3 linked regions of the Coturnix japonica genome follow. The protein of the gene in region 3 interacts with the protein of the main gene of each other region in a biochemical or structural test. Links are inferred from orthologs where the notes say so. Each region holds a gene or a part of one and is shown on either strand. Other genes may lie near its edges.

Evidence for each region. The genes of interacting proteins can lie anywhere in the genome.
Region 1: the proteins of CFTR (region 3) and SLC9A3R2 form a complex in vitro, tested with the Homo sapiens proteins (4 studies listed by BioGRID and IntAct, with this or other methods). The link is inferred for Coturnix japonica from reciprocal best matches to the Homo sapiens genes CFTR and NHERF2.
Region 2: the proteins of CFTR (region 3) and PRKAA1 form a complex in vitro, tested with the Homo sapiens proteins (2 studies listed by BioGRID, with this or other methods). The link is inferred for Coturnix japonica from reciprocal best matches to the Homo sapiens genes CFTR and PRKAA1.

The regions. Positions count from the first base shown.
Region 1 is NC_029529.1:6,208,505-6,214,914, reverse strand, and holds part of SLC9A3R2 (Na(+)/H(+) exchange regulatory cofactor NHE-RF2), read right to left. Parts: intron 5,612-6,410; coding exon 5,435-5,611; intron 4,043-5,434; coding exon 3,889-4,042; intron 2,029-3,888; coding exon 1,985-2,028; intron 1,669-1,984; coding exon 1,606-1,668; intron 176-1,605; coding exon 17-175; 3' UTR 1-16.
Region 2 is NC_029547.1:11,797,609-11,804,018, reverse strand, and holds the end of PRKAA1 (5'-AMP-activated protein kinase catalytic subunit alpha-1), read left to right. Parts: intron 1-540; coding exon 541-667; intron 668-1,934; coding exon 1,935-2,179; 3' UTR 2,180-5,063; downstream 5,064-6,410. Other genes in the region: TTC33 (tetratricopeptide repeat protein 33), read left to right, coding at 5,662-5,879. UniProt on the Homo sapiens protein: Catalytic subunit of AMP-activated protein kinase (AMPK), an energy sensor protein kinase that plays a key role in regulating cellular energy metabolism.
Region 3 is NC_029516.1:22,122,854-22,129,718, forward strand, and holds the start of CFTR (cystic fibrosis transmembrane conductance regulator), read right to left. Parts: upstream 4,449-6,865; 5' UTR 4,262-4,448; coding exon 4,209-4,261; intron 1-4,208. UniProt on the Homo sapiens protein: Epithelial ion channel that plays an important role in the regulation of epithelial ion and water transport and fluid homeostasis. Mediates the transport of chloride ions across the cell membrane.

The DNA of each region.
Region 1 (6,410 bases), on a different chromosome or scaffold from region 3:
CCGCCTCCAGCAGGGCTCAGAAATTGCTGAAGATCTCCCGTTTCTTGTTCCAGTCCATCTGCGGAGCCCTCTTCTTCACCCGCTTGGCCCTCACCTTCTCCTTGGCCTCAGCTGCTGTAGGGCTCAGGCTCAGCCCACTCTCCTCAAACGGGTCCCTCTTCTCTGAGTCTCCATCCTGCAGGGAGGGACAGATGGAGTCAATGGATGACCTTACTGGCATTGTTACTCTGGCTGTTGGAGCCACCAAGCAGCATCCAAGCCTTGTGCACCCAAGGCTCTGTCAGTGTCTAAGGATGAGAACATGGTCTTTGGGCACCTAACCTGGAACACTGGCACTTATGTCTGAACAAGGCTAGGAAATCAGGTAATTACCCAGGGGTTGGAACTGGATGTTCTTGTAAGTCTTTTCCAGTCCCATCATTCTATATTCTACATCACCACACTGCAACCAGTGCTGGGTCAGAGCCCCCACCCCACACTTTCTGTGGTTTAACCAGCATGGGAGCTGCAGGGCCACAATCACTACATTGCAGCTGGTGGCTCCTTCCTGCCCAGTTGGCTGCACCCAGGACATTCTCCTTTGGGCACTGTACAGAAAGATGCAGCTTTCTATCTTCCTGATAGAAGTACTTTATGGGAAGAAAATCAGTGACTTTCTAAAGTCACTGCCACTGTTGCAATGTGCCCTCAAGCCAGAAGCCCCCATTGCCTATAGGCTCCTCTCCCCTCCCTTGTCCCAGTAATAGATTAAAGATGACAAACACATTGTACCCAGGGGTACAATTAATGCACAAGTCCAAATGCTTTGTGCTAAACATGCAGCACTGGGTTATCTCAGCCCTCACCCTTCCTTGGAATCTACAGGGCAGAGAAGGACCAGCCCTGCTGGGTGCTGCACCAGAGCTGCTTTCAGTGGGTGAGCTCCAGAGCAGGTACAATGTGAAGCTCCTGCACCAGCACCATGTCTATGGTTTGGGTAGATGGTGCAGCTCCTGGTCTTAATGCCCGCAGAAGTGCCCCAGTGCAGTGCTTTGCCTGCCCCATACTCACATAAGCACAGCAGGCAAACACAGAGAACAAAGATCTCCACGTTTTAAAGCCTGTCCTGCCCTCTAGCATTGCTGCCCTCACACACACAGTGCTTCCTGCAAGAGGACCAGCTTTGCTCTGGCTCACAGATGCAAACCGGTTCACATGCACTGTGCAATTGGGCCATGCATTATTTAATGCTCAGAGCAAAAGGGAGCTTGCCAGCCTGTAGGCGCCTGGCTCAGCCCTGAACACAGCTGCTGCTCACAGCCCCCTGCCCGGCTGGCTGTGGGTGCTCAGGGGGTGCATCCCCTGCTGCAGGGCTCTGCTGGCAGCACAGCCATGTGGCACCACACACCTTCATCCCTGGTGAAGGGGAAGGAATGCACCTCACATGGATTTATAGGGCAGGGCATGACAGAAAACTCCCTGTATTGATTGCTGGGTGGATGCAGGTGTACCTAAGCCTTCAATTTGAAACTGAAATTGCATGCAAATATGATTTTACACAGTACCGTGGCATAAACATGTACATACATATGTGAAAAGAAGGCAGCACGTGTTTGGGGTTTTTACCTCGGATTCCTTCCCAGGACTTTGAAGGTCACTGTGAGATGAAGATGTGGAACCTCCATTCAGCTGTGGGAAACAGAAACATTAGCTCAGGTTGTGTGGGGGCAGAAACAATAAAACCCAATAACCACATGGGGACAAACATCACAGCCAGTCCCAGTGCAGCACCCTATGCCTGCAGGGACAATGGTACATGCAGGGTGCTACTCCTGGTGAAAAGGCACAAATGGGGCTGAGCCCAGTCTTGTGCAAGCCTGAAATTATAGCTACAGCAGGAAGCAATTCTAATTAGCCAGCAGCAGTTAATTGAGCTCAATGAGCCTCAGCAAGGCTAGGAGGTTCCCTCTGCTTTGAGGCAACCTGGGAGCAGGTGGGGACTCACCTGCATCTGTGCAGATCCATTCGTCATGGGCTGAGGCACCACACCTGCGGACCAGGCAGAGGAAACAGAGTGAGTGCACTCATGGGGACGGCCGGGCTGGGCTCCATCACAGGGGCTGCAGTCCCAACAAGGCCCCAGAAGCCCCATGTGCCCCCTACCCCAGAGATGCAGCCAGACCCAGTGTGTGCCCCCCAGAACCGCAATCCCAACCTCATTCAATTGCTGCTTTCATCAGGAGAAAGCCCCTTCCAGCAGGGGTACTAAACCACTTCCCTCCCTAAGCTCTGCATTCAGTGCACTCCTGTTTTTGACAGCGAAACCATTTTTCCTGGGAATTGTTTAATCGGAAATCTTACAGACCAGCCCAACATTCTTTGCTGAAATCAGCAACTTGTTGGTGTTGCAATAGCATGTAGCAAGCAACCCGCTGCCTTTCATGGACCTTGGCACATTGTTGCCCACTTCCAATAATTTGTGTTAGTAATCCTCCATACAATGGCAAATTCAATGCAGATGGGCTGCTAGTTCCCACAACCAAGTCACTGCTCAAGGCAGCCTGGGACAGATGAGACACGGTGCTACAGATGTGCCAGTTGTGACAGGGCTAGTGACTGAATTATACTTAGCACAAAGACTTCCTGGGGGCACAGACCCCATTCTGTGCCCCTCCGTCACCCCAGTGGGACCCCTGAGCAGCCCCCAGCCTACAGCAGCCAAGCAGAGAACAACACTGTGTGCTCATTGTGCAACACTGTACCCAGTGAAGCAAGAGCAGCTTGTAACTGCAGCAGCCCAGGGCTTCTAACTTACAGCTCTGCAGCCATTGTGCATCACAGCATCAATAAGGTTGGAAAAGACCTCCAAGATCACTAAGCCAACCCCCACTCCATCCCACCCTACCTACTGACCATGTCCCTCAGTGCCACATCTCCATAGTTCTTATCACCTTCAGAGACAGTGACCCCACCACTCCCTGGGCAACAGTGCCAGTTCCTGAGCACCCTTTCAGAGAAGAAATGTCCCCCAGTATCCAGCCTGAACCTCCCTTGGCATAACACAGTGCCATCACCTCTCATCCTATCGCTGTTACCTGAGAGAAGAGGCCAACTCCTACCTCACTAAACCCCCATCCTCCTGGTGCAGGGAGCAAGGAGCCAGCGCCCAGCACTCACACACCCACACGCATGGCCCTGGCTGTGTCCCTGCTGCTGGGAACAAGGGCTCCTTTGTGCCTGTGCCAGCAGACCGGGCTCACACCGCTCCTCTTTGAGCCCACTTGGAGCATCTGACACCGCTCTCAGCCCTCAGAACTCTTTGACTCAATTTCTCTGGACCAATCTTCCCACGGAGCACCTGACTGAGCTCGGGTCGGATGGTGACAGGGTGTGGAGTGGACAGACTACTTTCCCTGCCAGGTTCCAGCAGCAAGGGAAACATTCCCTGCAGCGGACATCTGTGATCGCTGCTGTGTGAAGCTCATCTCTGCGTGTGCACATGGGGGCTGTTCTTACTTCTCTCTGCGCCCTCAGGCTCCTTTGCCAAGGGTCATCACGCCCTGCAGCCCCACAGCAGTGCTCTGCTCCCAGACACCGAGCAGCCCTGGGTTGTGCCACCAAAGCATCCCCACAGCTGGACCACTTGCACCAAGTGCTGCTGCACCCATCGACACATCCCACGCAGCATCGTCACCCCACAGCCGCCTTCTGGCAGCCAGTCCCTATGTTAATTATTCACGGTGTAAAAATAATGAGTTGTTTTGTGGCTGGGAGTATTCTCACTGTTTATAAATAGCTGGGTGGTGCTCAGGAAACCGCTCAGGGATGAGACAAGGGAAACATGACTCTGTCACTCCTGAAATCCCACCCTTGTCCTGGTGAGTCACAGGGGCAGAACCAGGCTCTCACCTTTGGTGTGCTCCTCCGTGGGGGTCACCCCCAGCTTTTTGAAGTACTCATCTGTCTCAGGGTCCACCACCAACAACCTGGCTTCGCTCTCTCTGGCTTTGATATGGGACACCACTTCTGAGTGCCGCAGCCCCTCCACATTTATTCCGTTTACCTGCAAAAAACAGCAGTGTTGGACTGCAGCAGAGACATCTCTGACACCCAAAAAAACCTCTGCACAAGCTCCATCTGTCCATTACAGGGAGTTGGCCAAATGACCTTTAAAGGTCCATTCCAACTCAAAGGATTCTATGGCTCTAATTCCTGAATTCCACCGGACCCCCAAACTCTGCCACCTCCTAAACTACATGAGTGCTCAGGACCACATTGGTTCCCCTCTAGCAACTTCAAGCCCAGTATTCATCTTCAGTTTGCCCCCAAAACCTCATCCTGCCTGAGCTCATCCCCAATAAGGGATGAGGGAGGATATCCCTTGTCCCAGCAGCCAGGCAGAGCACAGTGCTTGTCTGTCCCTGACGTGCTGACTCATTTTCCCTTCATCGCACGCGACCTGGGAGCCACCAGCAGATGAGATTTCTCCTCCCAGGCAGAAAGGGAACAATTGTGATTTCTAGGCATTGTTTGTGCTCAGAAATGAACACACCCATTGCCTGGGGCTGGCGCAGACCCTGTAGGAGACACAGTCCCAAGGAGCCAGCCTGGCTTGTAGCCATGCTCCATCCCCACCATCACCCCATAGTCACCCCAATGTCACCCCAATGTCACCCCAACATCACCCCAATGTCACCCCAATATTACCCCAGTCCTGCCCCAGGACTCACCCTGACCCATAGGGAGACCCCAAAGGGGACTGCCCTGCTCTCCCACCCCAACACTGGTACAGCAGGGCTGGGAACATCAATTATTTATCAGAGCCCCAAAGAGCTGGAGCAGGGGGGGGATCAGGTTTCTGAGCTCTCCAGCTCACCCCTCGCTGCTTTGTGCATGCCGGGCACTTGGCCAATGGATGATAAATAAATAACAAAACACCTCGCTGCCATGAACCGCAGCCATGGGTGTCCCAGCCCCAGCATTACACTGCCACAGTGCCAGGGCAGAGCCAGGCTGGGGTATGGTGTGGAGCCCAGCTGGGAAACAAGTAATGTCTGTCCATCTGTCTGTGCTGCTTTAAATGGGGGAACTCATTCTTCAGTAAAAACACCAAGAGACAAACAAGGCGAGGGTGATTCTGTGCAACATCAAGAATTCTGTTGTTCGGCATTAAGCAAAATCGCTTCCAAGAGTGGTTTCTCCCCCCATCTTTCACAATCCTATGCTTTAAGATCTCTCTGCCAAGCGTTTCCCCTGGCTCCAAACTCCTGCCCAGCAGTATGATGGATCTGATGGAAAAGGGCACAGGACTGGGCCTGGATTCAGCATCACGCTTCCCAGCTGAGCATCACATCCCTTCTGCACTCCAGCTCCTCATTTCCAGGAGGATTCATGTTGGTAGGACCCAAAAATGCAACAAAAGAGCCCCAAAGCTCCATGCTGCATGTGCTGTTACCTCCACCAGGCGGTCCTGGGGCCGCAGACCTGCTCTGGATGCTGGTGAGTCAGGGTCAACCGAGCGGATGAACTGCCCTGGGCGGGACTTCTCACTGTGCAGGTTGAAGCCATAACCATTGGGACCTTTCTTCAGGTGGCAGAGGCGCGGACACAGCTCTTTCTGTCCATTTAAATCCTGATTTAAAAAAGAAAGATGATGGGGGGTGGTTACGCGGGGGGAGAGGATAAGATATTGTGTTTGATTTATCGGCTTGGTTTTGTTCTGAATCAGAATTAAGTTGAGAAGGAAGCAACATATCTGCACACCATCCCCTCCTTCCAGCTCAATGGGGACAGGTTAACAAATGGATTTCCTCTCATTGAGTTTATTTTAGAAAACTGATTGTCCAAAACCACTCCAGAGAAATTGAAACAACAACAACAAAAAATGCATTTCCTCAGCCAACAGCAGCCCAGACCCACCCACCCCCCCCCCCACCACCACCACCTTAACTCCCAGCACTGATTGATGTTAGCACCGTGCCTGGCTCCCAGTGACTCCAACACGGCTCAAGGCTTCATCCTCACCTTGCTACTCATCCCTCCCTGCAGGGATGTTCTGAGCAAGCTGGGTGATGCCCAGATCTGGAGCTGCATCTTTGGCCACTCTGGGGATGGCACCAGGGGATGGGCAGCCCTGTCCTGCAACCAGCTCAAAAATGATCATGCAGAACTGGGAGTACTGAGCCAACAGGGCAGAGAGGGATCATCTGTGTGCCCACCTGGAGCCATGTGGCACAGCTGCTCTGCAGTCACTTAGCAGTGAGCCTATGGAAACATTGATCTGGGCAGAGTGGGAAAGCCCTACAGAAGTCTTTGCAGAGAGGAAGCATCAACCCTGCACATGGTGCTGCCCAAGGTGCCCACAGCACGTCCAGGCTGAGCTCGCTGCAAATATTAGCAGAGCACGTGAGGGCTTTGGTGCTTCACCTCTA
Region 2 (6,410 bases), on a different chromosome or scaffold from region 3:
GTATTGCATGTGAATGGCTTAAATGCTTAAATTTAGAACATGAACTCCAGGAGTGAGTGCTTGATTTGTCAAGTTGCCAGGTATGTATCATGAACTAAAAGGAATGCTGTTTTTCTTACACTATGTTGGAGTTAGCAAGTTTACTTTCCTGATTTTTCTGATGACATTCCTGTGCAGGAAAACAAGTGTGTGTGTGTGCACCAACAACTTGCTTACTGCATGAAAATGGTTTTGGAAGAGGTAATTTATGCTGAAAGAAAAAAAGTTGTGTTAACATGTCTAACTTTTCTGCTGGGGCTCTAAGGATGTGTGGGTTTTCTTTTTTTTCTTTTTTCTTTTTTCTTTTTTCTTTTTTTTTTTTCCTTTTGCCAGTAGGAAAAAGCAAACAAACAAACAAACAGACAAAAAAAAAAAAACCACCAAAAAACGCACCTTAAGAGGCAAGCCTGAAATCCCTTGATATTAGTAAGTTGAAATAAGAACAGTATGGTCTGCATCTCAAGCAGTTCTGGTAACTAACTCAAATCTCTTTTGTAATAGGTTGTAAATCCATACTACTTGCGTGTTCGAAGAAAGAATCCAGTGACAAGTGCATATTCTAAAATGAGTTTACAGCTGTATCAGGTGGACAGCAGAACATATTTACTGGACTTCCGTAGCATTGATGGTATGCAAAGACTTGTGTTAATGGAACTATAAGGGAAACTGTTCTAAATTCCAGGTCTTAATTTACTTGTGAATAAGTGAATTAAAACTGTTACCCTTTATCAGCTAAAGCCAGATCTCAGTTTTAGTATTTCTTTGCTCCTTCCTGCTCTAGTGCTCCTGTAGTCAAATGATTAGCTGGTTCATCTCTCAAAACCCTCTTTAGCTGTATCAACTCCTCAGTTATTGGTTTGTGTGTCTCTACCAGCACTGATGCCACTGGTACTAAAAGGGGCAGCGCTATGAAGAAGCAATACTTAGGTTACTTTAACTGTCTGCTGCTGCTTAGATCCAGTGATACTTCATAAAAGGGTCTAATCACTTTACTGTACTAACAATGTAAGAAAAATACCAGTTCAGTGGGAGGGAAGAAGACTGCCTAGAGCCACTCAGCCAAGAAAGGACAGCCTGTCTTTTCAGTCATGAAGCTGATTTGGTATTTCTTTTTGCTACAAATAACTATTAAGTATTTCTTTTATGGGACTGCAGTTTCAAGTAGATTTGACTGATGTAAAAAACAGTCCCTCCTTTACTCACTAATTTTTCCTGGACATAACTCTAAGGTACAAGTGTGAGTCTAATAACAAGCTAATGTTCAGTTTCTAAAGTAAGGTAAAAGATACTTCAGCAGACCTTGCTTCTAAGATGGAAGTATTTCTTTCTAATATGGGAGGTAAGCTTAAGTTGCTATAGATATAGTTCAAGGTGTATAAAATTCTAAAAGAAACACATCAGTTTGTTTTTCACTTTTGTAAATAGTTGCAATCAATGCACAATTAGTCTTAAGAATATTAGAAATAAAATATAAATAACCAAATACAATAAAAACAAAGTAGATGCTAGGAGAAAGTATGTACAAAATGTTTGAACTGTTATTAAGCTTAAACAGATAACTATGGGAGTTTAAAGATAAATGAAGTAAATCAGTTGAACTGTTAGCCACTGAAATTATTTACTGACTGGAAAATGATGGCTGCTCGTCTAATGTTGATCATATTGTCCTGAAGCACAGTTCATAGCACTGTACCAATTTGCATAAGGATGACTGCTTCTGTTACTACTTCTATAAGCTTTTGTTTTGTATTAACTATATATACTTCACAAGAGCTGTTTAAATGTTAACAAGGATTTTAAAAACAAGATTAAGTCTGAGGGGAAAAATATTTTGCTGATCTTCTGGCTAGTTTGATGTGAATGACTAATTTTTTACTCTCTACTGGCCTTTTCAGATGAAATTATTGAAACAAAGTCTGGGACTGCAACTCCACAGAGATCAGGTTCTGTGAGCAACTACAGATCATGTCAGAAAGACTCAGATGGTGATGCACAAGGAAAATCTGCAGATACGTCGCTTACCTCATCAATGACCTCTTCACTTGATTCTTCGACAGCTGACTTAACTCCAAGACCTGGCAGTCATACAATAGAATTTTTTGAGATGTGTGCAAATCTTATTAAAATACTTGCACAATAACTTTGAAGGTGGGCTTATTTCTTTTACAGCAATAAGCATGCATAAATTGTAGTCAGATGCTTCCAGTTGTAATCAATTTAAATTAAGGCGCTGAAAAAACTAGCTGCAAAATGCAATTTACCTGGGGATTTAAATCATTATGAATTAGGTATATTGCTTTGAAGCTGGAGTGAATTTTGATTTTCTGCTATCCAGTAGCTTAATACAGGTACAGGAAGTCACATGCCCCTTGGCAGTGCTTGTAACATTTTCATTGAGTGCACGTTAGTATTTATATAACATTTACATTACATGGTCCTTTTTGTCCTTCTTGTTGGTGATGCATACCTCTGGAGCACTGTAAGAAAATGTGCGCTTACAAGTTCATTGACCTAAGTATGACTTGTTGGTCACTGTCTACGTTTGTGCCTCAGTTGATCAGAACAGTTAATGTCTCCTAACAGTAAAGTGTTAAAACTGCTGTTCCTTCCCCCTTTATTCAGCAGTAAATGAGATTTTTAAACAAAGTCTGATGTGCTGTAATATGCCATTCAATAGTTGATGCACTTGAGTAAATGTTGGCAAATCCAACCAATTGGAATTTTCAGTACGTGTAAGTGCTCTGCAGCACAGTTACGAGTACAGTTCTCTGGGGATTAAGTAGAACAGTTGAAGCCACAGCAGTGCCAAGAGAGACAATGCTGAGAAGACACGCCATGCAATGGCCTGAAACAGATCACTGCTCTAAAGCACTGTGAGCAAGCTCCTGATCTGTGCAGGTTTGCTAGCTCGTACCATAGTGTAGTAGCAGCACAGCTACTGGCAGGCTGAGAATCCTTAGAAGTAAATGCATGTAGTTAAGAGCACAGCCTAGGGGTTGTTGCATGTTATTCTGCAATCTGAAATTGACACGCTTTAAAGAAAAAAAAAAGTTAATACTTAGATATGTTTGCTTACATCACATGTTAACTTACTATATGCTATGTAGAATTCACATTGCAGTTGAAACTTATCGATAGGCTTAGTTTTTCCGGACTACCCTCAAACAAATTTTACTACTTAAATTGTGGAAATTAATAGTGCTGTTTTTCCATTGAATGTTTAAAGCTGAATATGACAACTAAAGTGTTAATGGTTAGGAGGTTTTGAAATGTAGATTGCAGTCACAGATAACAGTAGTTGTAACTGCAGAAGAAATGTTTTAAGAAGATGACCTTAAATGCTGAATCAGATATATTTGCTGAAAAATGCTAAATATCTTGTAAGTTGGATGTACGTACCCACAGTTCCATTTTCATCTAGCACTGATGGATGTAAATGCTAATCAGTAAATTGCCATAAACCATTTTAATTTCTTATTAGGGGATTTTTCTTTTTGAGATAGACTACATGGCTTTAAAAGATTGCTCTCCCATTTAGAAACTGGAAATCAAGGCATTAATATAAACAGTGTAACCTGGACTTTGTTAGGATGGATGGGACTTCTAGCCAGTGATGAGTCTAAGATCCCATCCCTGACACGCTGCTAACCTCAGATGACAAGAACAGTGTAATGCAGTCCAGTTGGCTTCAGTCCAGAAATTCCTCTGTTACAAATTTGAAGAAATTTAGATATGCTTAAGCCTCAGAAGTGCTGTAGCTCTTCTCAACTGGGCAATTGTGTGTCCTGTCTTGTATGTAGGTACAGCTTCAGTTTCTTGTCCTCAAGTAGTGTCTCGCACGGTCCCTGTAGTGCAAGGTTATATTTTGAATAGCATATATGTAGCTCAGAGTGGAAGGGTTCTCCTAGGGAAAAACTATTGTGTTTGAACTATTGAGACTGAGATGACAGTATGTGGGACCAGCTATCAATCATACTTTTAAGTCCTTTCTTCAGTCATGTAAGGAAAGGTTCTGATGTTCTGAATAAATAGGTGTGCTCATTTTGTTATCCTTTTATTTTGAAACCTAAATATTGCACTTGTACAAATGTAACAAACGCACAGATTTTTTTATTGCAGTAATTCCTTATCTGGAGTTTGTTTGGGATCACTAAAACTGCCTCTTGCATATGTTTAACTAAATATTTACTAATGGTATCTGCTCCTGGTGAAAAGGTGCGAGCAGCTCTTAATTACATACACTTCTTTTGGCCCTTCTGTGCATTATGGCAGCCGCGGATTTTACTTTGTTCTCTTGTCTGAATTTTGTTGGCACGATGCAACAGTTTTGATGGCCAAAAGTTTTGTGATAGAACCGAGGGGATTTTATAATACAGGTTTGGGGAGTGGGGAAGGGGACTGACATCCTATTTTGAATCCGGTGCAGTTGTCTGTTGTGTCACTTTCTTACGCTTTGTAGATCTTTATTCTGGAGCTGCTTTCTTCAGATGTTCCTACTGAGCTTGGAGATCTTCTTTTGCATCCCGTCAGGCTGTGAGACTGAACCTCACTGAGGAAAACAGCAGGAGTGTGAGGATGTAATTGATGTGAATACGTGAATTGGTCAAGTATGTTACTCTGCAATCCAAGCACATTCAGTTGGAGTGTGCTGAATTATTTTTCCTGTGTTCTTGCTTTATGGAAGCACAGATAAACCCAGTTATCTCTGAGCTCAGTAGGTATTGAATTAAAAAAAGAGGGGGAAAAAAAAAAAGTATAATTTGGGTGCATAATGCTAAAAGCAAGAAGAAAACGTCATGTTTGTCATGGTTGTCTTGTTATGAGCGTTAACTACTAAAGTGGAAATGTTATTTTACCAGTTGATTACCATTGTAAGATTTGAAGTCATGTTCTTTTAATAAAGATGTGCCTACTTCCTATGTTGATTTTTTTTCTGACAAAGTAACGAATGCAAAAATGCTTGTTTATAACCGTGTTGACTTTATAAAACTTTCAGAAGCTTAAAGTAAAAACGAAGTACTTAAGCATCCCGTCTGCAGGTGTGTGCTGTCTCGTGGTGTTACGCGCTGTCGTTGTAGAGGGGCTGGGAGGGGACGGGCTGGTAACTGCGGGTTGCTGGACGGCACAGCGCCGCGACACAGCGCCGCAGCACGGCCCCGCGGCCGGACACGGCCCTTGTCGCTCCCCGTCGCTCTCAGCCCACGGCGGAACCGCTGCCGCTCCGCCCTTCCGCTTCCCGGCGGGTCAGAGGTGTGTGGGGCTTGAGGCGGCGCGGGCCGGCAGGTAGCGGGCTCTGGCTGCAGGCCGGGCCTCTGCCCGCCCCCCTTCGGGCAGCGCTCGGGGCGGTGTTCGGGCCGTGTCCGAGCCGTGGCCCTGTGGCTCCGCGGGGAGCTCGGCGTAGCGCTCCTGGGTGTGGGCTGTGCTTTACTTGCTGCTTTTGCTTGTGGTTGGTGCAGAACGCCTCGCTACCGCTTGGCGTGGAGCTGCTGGGCGGGATCTGTATGGATGAAGGGCGTTCTGCTTCACGTTACTGCTCAAGATGAGCAAGCTGTGTTTGTTTTCCCGCACGCCGTAAATCTAGCTCTTCTAATCGCTGAAATCTGTTTTCCTCTAGTTCTCCCAATGGCTTCTTTTGGCTGGAAGAGAAAGATCGGCGAGAAGGTCTCGAGAGCCACTTCGCAGCAGTTCGAAGCGGAGGCGGCGGAGGAGAAGGGTCCGGGTGGTGATGAAGATGAGGACTGGGTGAACGCCGCCAAGAGGAGGAAGGAAGTTATCGAGGACTGCGTAAAGAAGAGCAAACAGCTGAAGGATGAGGGGGCAAGTTTGGCTGAAAATAGGAGGTACTGATGTTATCTTCTTTCTTTGACTACCTGCTACGTGTTATTTTAATCCTTTTCCTGAACATTAAGTGTTAATAGTTGCATTCACGCATCCCGTGTTTGAAAAAAAGACTGGTCACTTGTTTTTAGACTTTGCACCTACGGTGTGATGCTGAGTAGGCTTGTTTTTGTTTTTTGGTGTTGACGTTGGCTGCTGTGAAGTCTGTATTCGAGTCTCATATCCGTGTGTTTCCTTAACAAGGAATGATGGAGAAAGATGGAAAACTGATTGCATCTGAAGTTTCAGAGGGTAAATAAAGTATTGTGAGGTAAGCCGTACTGTAAATAATGCTTCAGCTGCTCAAGGAGCTCTGCCCTGTCTTATAAATGCGTCGTAATCTCACTTCAGTGTTAGAAGGAGTTAGCGTGTTTATACATACACAGTGATTAGGGAAATGATGCACAGCACCTGTTATGCAGTAATCTGTCTAATTCTTTTGGCATATCGGGTTCAAGTAACCCCTCTGCGTGTTTCCTGGTAGTAGGACTCAG
Region 3 (6,865 bases):
TTCTCATAAGATCACCTTCTTGAACCAAAAACTATTTAGGTAAAGGCATCACCAAATATTACTAAGGAATTTCACATGAATACGTTTCTTACCCACAACAATGCTTTAAGTGAGCCATGGAGAAATTAAAAGCACCTTGAAGAGTACAGACAGTTACTGTCCATAGGCGGTTAACTAGTCCTATCTCCCAGAAGACGTAAGAGGGAAGGATACATAGAATTCCGTTTCCTATCCCCCTTAGCACACACACAGTGGAAGAAGGAATTCAGCATATATTCCCATCATACCAGTGTTCTTGGTTCTAGGAACCACTGGACAGCGATCTGTATGAAAAAGTCACAGGCTGATCTTCCTCCAGTTTGGAAAGAAGAAGCATCTTTGAGTAGAACTGCTGGGCTGAGCTTGTGAGAAGGGAGCATGAAGATGGCTTCATCTGAATTGCGTATCTGGATTTAACAATGAAACAGTCACTGAACTACTCAGTCCTGACAAGATAGTTGTCATATGTGGTATGTAGCAAAGCTAAAGTATATGCCTAGAGAGTTGAATGAGAGCATAATGATTGCCTTTTTGAACTTTTGAACTTGGGAAGAAAAAGAAATATATTGTCCCAAAGTTCTGAAAATCCAGTGATTTCTCTGTGTTTTCTATATCCAACTATAAATTAATTATACCTGCATTCGTTAAACCATAATGATTCTTCCTGACCTCCAATTATCTACAGTAAAAACCAAGTGGCAGCAAAGTACCTTGTTTGCTACATAAGGTATTGTCTTGACCCTGCAAAATCCTATAGCATACACAGCTTTGTTACAAAGACAAGAAAGAAGCTTCACAAGGAACATGAACACAGGTGCATGCCTCTATAGAAAAGTCTGCTTTCTTTAAACAAGAAGTTGACAGTGAGCACATCAAGGTCTTCTCAGTGGTTTCAAATAAAAGATATTAACTCCAAATAAGTAATACAAAAAATAAAATGAAAGAAAACCCTGAAACACTGAGTAGTTAATATCTAGTGTTTCTAAGTGTCATAGTAAAAGCAGATCTCAAACCATTTGCATTCATACTTCAGTTCTGAACCATCACAGCTCAGTTTCTAAAGCACAAACTGTTCAGATTTTAGCATGAAGGTTGATTTTTGTGCCTAAATGCTTTCTGTCATTGTCACCCCAAGCAATTCTCTTCTGTTGCCCTATCAGCCTAGACAATCTTGAAAGTCCAACCAAAAGGCAACATTTCCCAAAGCTATTACTCCTTGTATACACATATTAACTTTTTTTAGCATAACAAATTAAGAAGGAAAAAAAAGCAACTACAAACAACACTGAAATGTTCCAATTATCCTCTTCAGAGCAAGTACTTCCATTCTAACTTCAACACCTTCAGCCCTATCCCTCCTGCACAAACAGGCTATAAAGAGCAATAAAACCCAGTCAACAGTTTTGCAGACATCAGTATCAAGAAGTTGATAACACCTCATGAAATATTAAATAAATATTAAATAACATTATATTTATCTACAAGATTTTCTGAATAATACTAACACACTTTTGTGACCTTCAACTCAACTGAATTATAACCAGCTCGGTACTTCAGAAGTAATTCCATGAGAAGAAGTTACCTCAGTAAAGCATTCATCATCAATGTTGTACTTGAAAAAAATATATCATACCATTATTGGACATAGCCATCTTTCTCCATACACACCAAAGAAAGACCTGACTACTCCTTCCAGATCCAATGCCCTTTGGATTCTGTCTCACACTTCCATGGAACTAAAGCAAATACTAACATGTAGGCATGCCTTGAAGTTCTTTACTTAATAGCATCAGTTTCAGAAGCCACTGATGTGTGTACATTCAGTTAAAATGCTGATAAAATATTCTGACATCCTAGAAAACCTTGTTCCAATCTGACACATTAATCACTGCATTGTGGATGTTTCCAGTTGAGTGGACTGGAAACAGTTGATGCTGATATGTAGCAAATGCTCTGACTCTTTAAAGTTCATTACAGAAAATATACTTCCACGCGCTATGAAATTCTTATGCCTTGATGCATTTTTGCTCTGTGATTGTTCACCTTTTATTAGTCCTTAGTATTGATATGGATCTACCCCTGATGAGACAAGAACTGCTAGAGTCCTTGAGGACTGAAGCATTTTCAAACAAGCTAATGTGTCTCATGAAATAATGCATGACTTTAAAAGATACATTGATTTCTTTATTTTTAATTGAAAGACATTCTATCTGCCAGTTTGGATGTAATACATTTTCTAACCTTTTGGTTTTTGCTCTTGTGATTTTTTCAGACCTTTCATGTAATGCTCATAACAAACAAAGGCCTTTGCAGCGTACTTGTCACAATGCAAGTAAGCAGAGCACTTAGTAATTAATAGACACACATCATTCAGAACGTATGAGTCTTTACACAGTTACACATACAATTTTAGCTGTTCTCATCCAGCGAACTGGATGTGTACTTTAACAGATTGATTTTTCTGTGACATACAGTTATTACAAAGTTTTGTAAACAAGTTTATCTGATGTAGTCAGTATTGATCACAATTATCTCTTTTACTTCATATATTAGTTATTATCACTTCATTTACAGTAAGATAGTTGGTGCAATATCACATCTCCTCCACGATACGTAAGATTTAAATGACATTTAATTGACCCGAAGATTCAGATTTTAAAAGAGTTCGGATCAGATCCCAGGATGGTTAATTATGCACTTCCTGAGCATGAGCTGCACCTGGTTTCAGCCATGGAAACATTAACTAAGGTCAGAATCAGAAATACATTTACTTTATCACATTGGAATCTTTCCTTGACGCCTTCCCAGGTCCTAGGGGAGAACCCTAACAAAAGCTTTACAAAGAAATAAAATGAAATACAAGTGTCTCCACAAGCACTGGACTCATTATGTAGCCTTCTGTCCCACAGATCTGTATCTTAATACTTGAGCGGAGAACTAACTGAAGCTTATTCTATGGATTAATATATACAGGCTTATTCCCATCCACATTTTCTGGATCTATCTGCATTTGAGGGCAGGAACAGCTGTACTCACTGCAGCATCTGTACCAGACTCCCCTGGAGTCCTCACCTTTACCTGGATGGTTATAAAGCCTCAAAAACCGCTTATGTTCAGGATCCTTCCCTGCAACCACACCTGGTTAATGATGAACAACAGAACTCAAAACGGGGGAGGCCGGCAAAACAGCAATTCACAAGGGGCACTTCCCTTGTGGAACTTTTTTAAACGAAAAAAAAGAAATAGGAAGAAGAAAAGCTCAGGGCAACCTGTTGAAAGGGAAAGCCATCCCAAAAGGTTTAGAAAGCGAGTTAACAGCCCTCGATTATTCGGCCAATGTTATGCTTCCATACCACGTGTTCCCATTTCAGTCCCCGCGCTCATGCTTTTAACATTTCATCCCATCCCTCAGTGCTGTGTGAAAGACCCTCAAGGAACAAAAGGGGAAAGCAGCTCCTTAGGAAAAGGGCAAAACTGACGGCATGTGGGCTGCTGCCAGCCGGATTGTTTGTTCTTTCCAGCTGGCAGCGTTACCTCGAACAATGTCAGGTAGAGCGTGTTCAGGCTTCTATACCGACTTATAGAGCGCCGTGCACCGGTGTTGGCATTGGCTCCTTTCTCTTTTTATTTGTTGTTGTGCGAAAGAAAAGGCGCCGGGCACTGAACTAGTAAGAGAACGCTCTCAAGGCTCACAAGGAACTCCCTCCAGTAAGATCGCGTCTTGCGGTCGCACGCCGAGCAAACGCTGAAGCTTAAGGAACCGAACGGGGGAACGCTCGCTCCGGGAGCACCCCCCGCCGCCCCTCCCCTCTTCTCACCGTTTACGACGAAAGAACAGATCACCTCGTTGAGTAATTTACCAAAGGTTGCTCAAATTATGCCATAAATTAATTTGTCCGGGGCAGGTGAGGGTTTATGACACCTGACAGATCGAGACCGCTCGGTGCTACAACCCCGCAGAAACATGCCAGAGAAGAGATAGGATCCCGTCGTTCGGCCGCAGCTCCCATCGCTCACCCCGTTCAGAGCCGAGCGGCGTCCCGGCCTCCGGGCGGGAGGGGAGGGCAGGGAGGGCAGGGGAAGGGAGGGCGGGGAACGGGGAGCAGGGGAAGGGAGCCGAGCCCCGGGAGCCCCGTTCCGCACGTGTCCCACCGCGCCGGGGCTCCCACCTGAAGAAAAGTTTGGAGAAGATGTTCGCCTTCTCCAGGGGGGATCTCTGCATGGTGCCCGGCGCTGCGTTGCGTTGCGTTGCGCGGCGCGGACGACGGCGGCCGCTAATCGCTCACGCCCGGCTCGGCTGCTCCACTCCCGCGGCTCTCCCACCTTATCCGCTCGGGACGCTCTGATGTCATTGCCTGCCTCCTTCCCCTGCCCCTCTCCCCGCCTCTGCTTTGCCCAGGTTCAAAAGCAGGAGGGCTGCGGCGCCGGCCCGCGCTCTGCCTCCTCCGCCTCCTCCTCCTCCGCCGCGCCCGGCACCCGCTGCCCGCGCTCCCCGCCCCGACTCCCCGGGACGGCGCTTCCTGCCCGGCCCCGACCCTGCACCGCAGGAGCCCCTCGGGGAGACACCGCCCCTCCGAGCGGAGCCTCCTGCCCCGGCTGCGGAGCGGTGGAGGCAGCGCACCTGAGCCCGTAAGCATCGACGGCGGGACAGAGCGGGCAGTGCGGACGGACGCCTTCGGACCCGCTGTAAAACACACACACGCGTGCTTCAGGCTTTCAAATTTCGTGCAGCCACAGCTCCGAAGGAATGGGAGCTGGAGCACATCCTCACAGAGCTCAGTCTGCAGAGCCAGGTTTAACAGTAAGGCTGATTTCGTCGTTCTGGATGCGTGCTGTACAAACAGGATCCCTGCTGCCAAGGACAGCGCAGTTTAAAGCATGCTTAGAAGAAGACAAAGAGCCAGAGGCAGGAACAACAACTTCGGCTTTAATGCTGCACACCAGATAATTTTATTTAATGCTTTCGTGTCATATTTACAAACTCAGTTTTCCTTTCACTTCTATAACTTGAAAAAATATAGACGGAATAAGACTATGCTTCCTTAAGCATGCAGCTGTTCCCCATCGAGCAAAATCTATAACAGGCAAACACGCTACTCTGTGCTCTTATAAACTGCACTCCAATTAAAGCTGCTGTTTCTCTTTGTAAACTTAGCAGGCGTTTTTTTATTATTATTTCACCACTTCTTTCTACACCCCACCGTGATTTCATAAGGAATCGCTCTGCTTCAGCACTTCTCACACATTGCAGACAGCGGAGAGATGCCCCTTTCCCTGCCATCGCACCGGGCTCCTTTGTGCCTCGGAGCTCCCATGGATCCTCCCCGACTTTGCTCTATTAATGACAAAACCAGTAAGAAGCACAGAGCAGGCAGGGCTCCAGGAAACCGTCTACACTTTATCATGTCTTCAGACAATGCGGAGAGGCAGGACTAATTCTAGGCGGGCTTGGGGACAGTGGAGCGGAGCCCTTCGGCATCCTGCCACCTAGTGGAGCCGGGCCCGGGCCGCCAGTCCGCCCCGCACCGCTCGGCAGCCGCTCCTCGGCCACAGACCTCCCGGCCCACCCGAGTTTGGTTCTGGGCTGCAGGTGGGCACCTTCTCCCCACCCTCGGACACCTCAGCAGGTCGGTCTCCCTACTCCTCCGCACTCAGTGACAAGGACACTCAGCTAGGAAATAAGGTTAGGATGTAGATGGCAGAGTATCATAGAATCACAACATCGTTAAGGCTGGAAAAGAACACTAAAATCATCTGGTCCAACAATGAGCCCAACATCATCATGCCCAATAAAACGTATCTCCTTGTTTCTTGAACACCTTCAGAGATCATGACTCCACCTCTCTGTTCCAATACCTCACTATTCCTATAGAGAAGAAATATTTCCTAATATCCAGCCTGAACCTCCCCTGGTGCAGCTTGAGGCCATTACCTCTCATCCTATCCCTGTTACCTAGGAGAAGAGGCTGACACCCACCTCACCACAAGCTCCCTTCAGGCAGCTGTACAGTGCAATGAGGTGTCCCCTGAGGCTTCTCTTCTCCAGACTAAACAACCCCAGCTGCCTCAGCCACTGCTCATAAGACTTGTGCTCCATTCCCCTCACCAGCTTTACTGCTCTTCTCTGAACTCTGTGAGCCTACATTTCCTGTCACCTTTATCGACTGGGCCCTAACACGCAGACCAACTCAGTGTCTGAAATTCTTTCACTTTGTTAGAAAGCGTAAAAGCTTTAATTTAAAGACAAGCTGGAAACCAGTCCAAGCAACATACAACCACTCTGATGCACGCTCTTCGTCTTTTAGAACAACAATTATTCGTAATCTTGGGCATTCTCCAGCTGAATGTGAAACTTGTCATTGGCACCAGCATGAGTAGGAATAAACTGTATCCTTTCTGTTCTCTCTGGTGACTGAAATACCTCCAAATTTAGTAGTATCTATGAATTTCATTAATATGACCATCTTTTACTTCTACAGAAATGCAGCCTGGTGTGACAACATCTACTTTATCTTACTTGCATCCACATCCACCATCTATCTGACTATAGTCTGACTTTCAGACAAAACATAGTGAGCCTGAGTTAGTGAATGAGCTGGCATGGGAAGGAGCAAACAAGTACAGCCTTGCTTGACATGCCACCACTGTAGTGACTGGGAGGGCTACCTCACCCAGTGTGCAGTGACCAGCCTGAAGTCACACACTAGGGAGCAGCCTGGCTGCTCGGCCCCTTCACATCCATGGCAACTGAAAGCTTATTCTGAAAACTAAAACATCCTTGACAAAACAAACAAACAAATAAACAAACCTGGTCCTGGTCCTATGC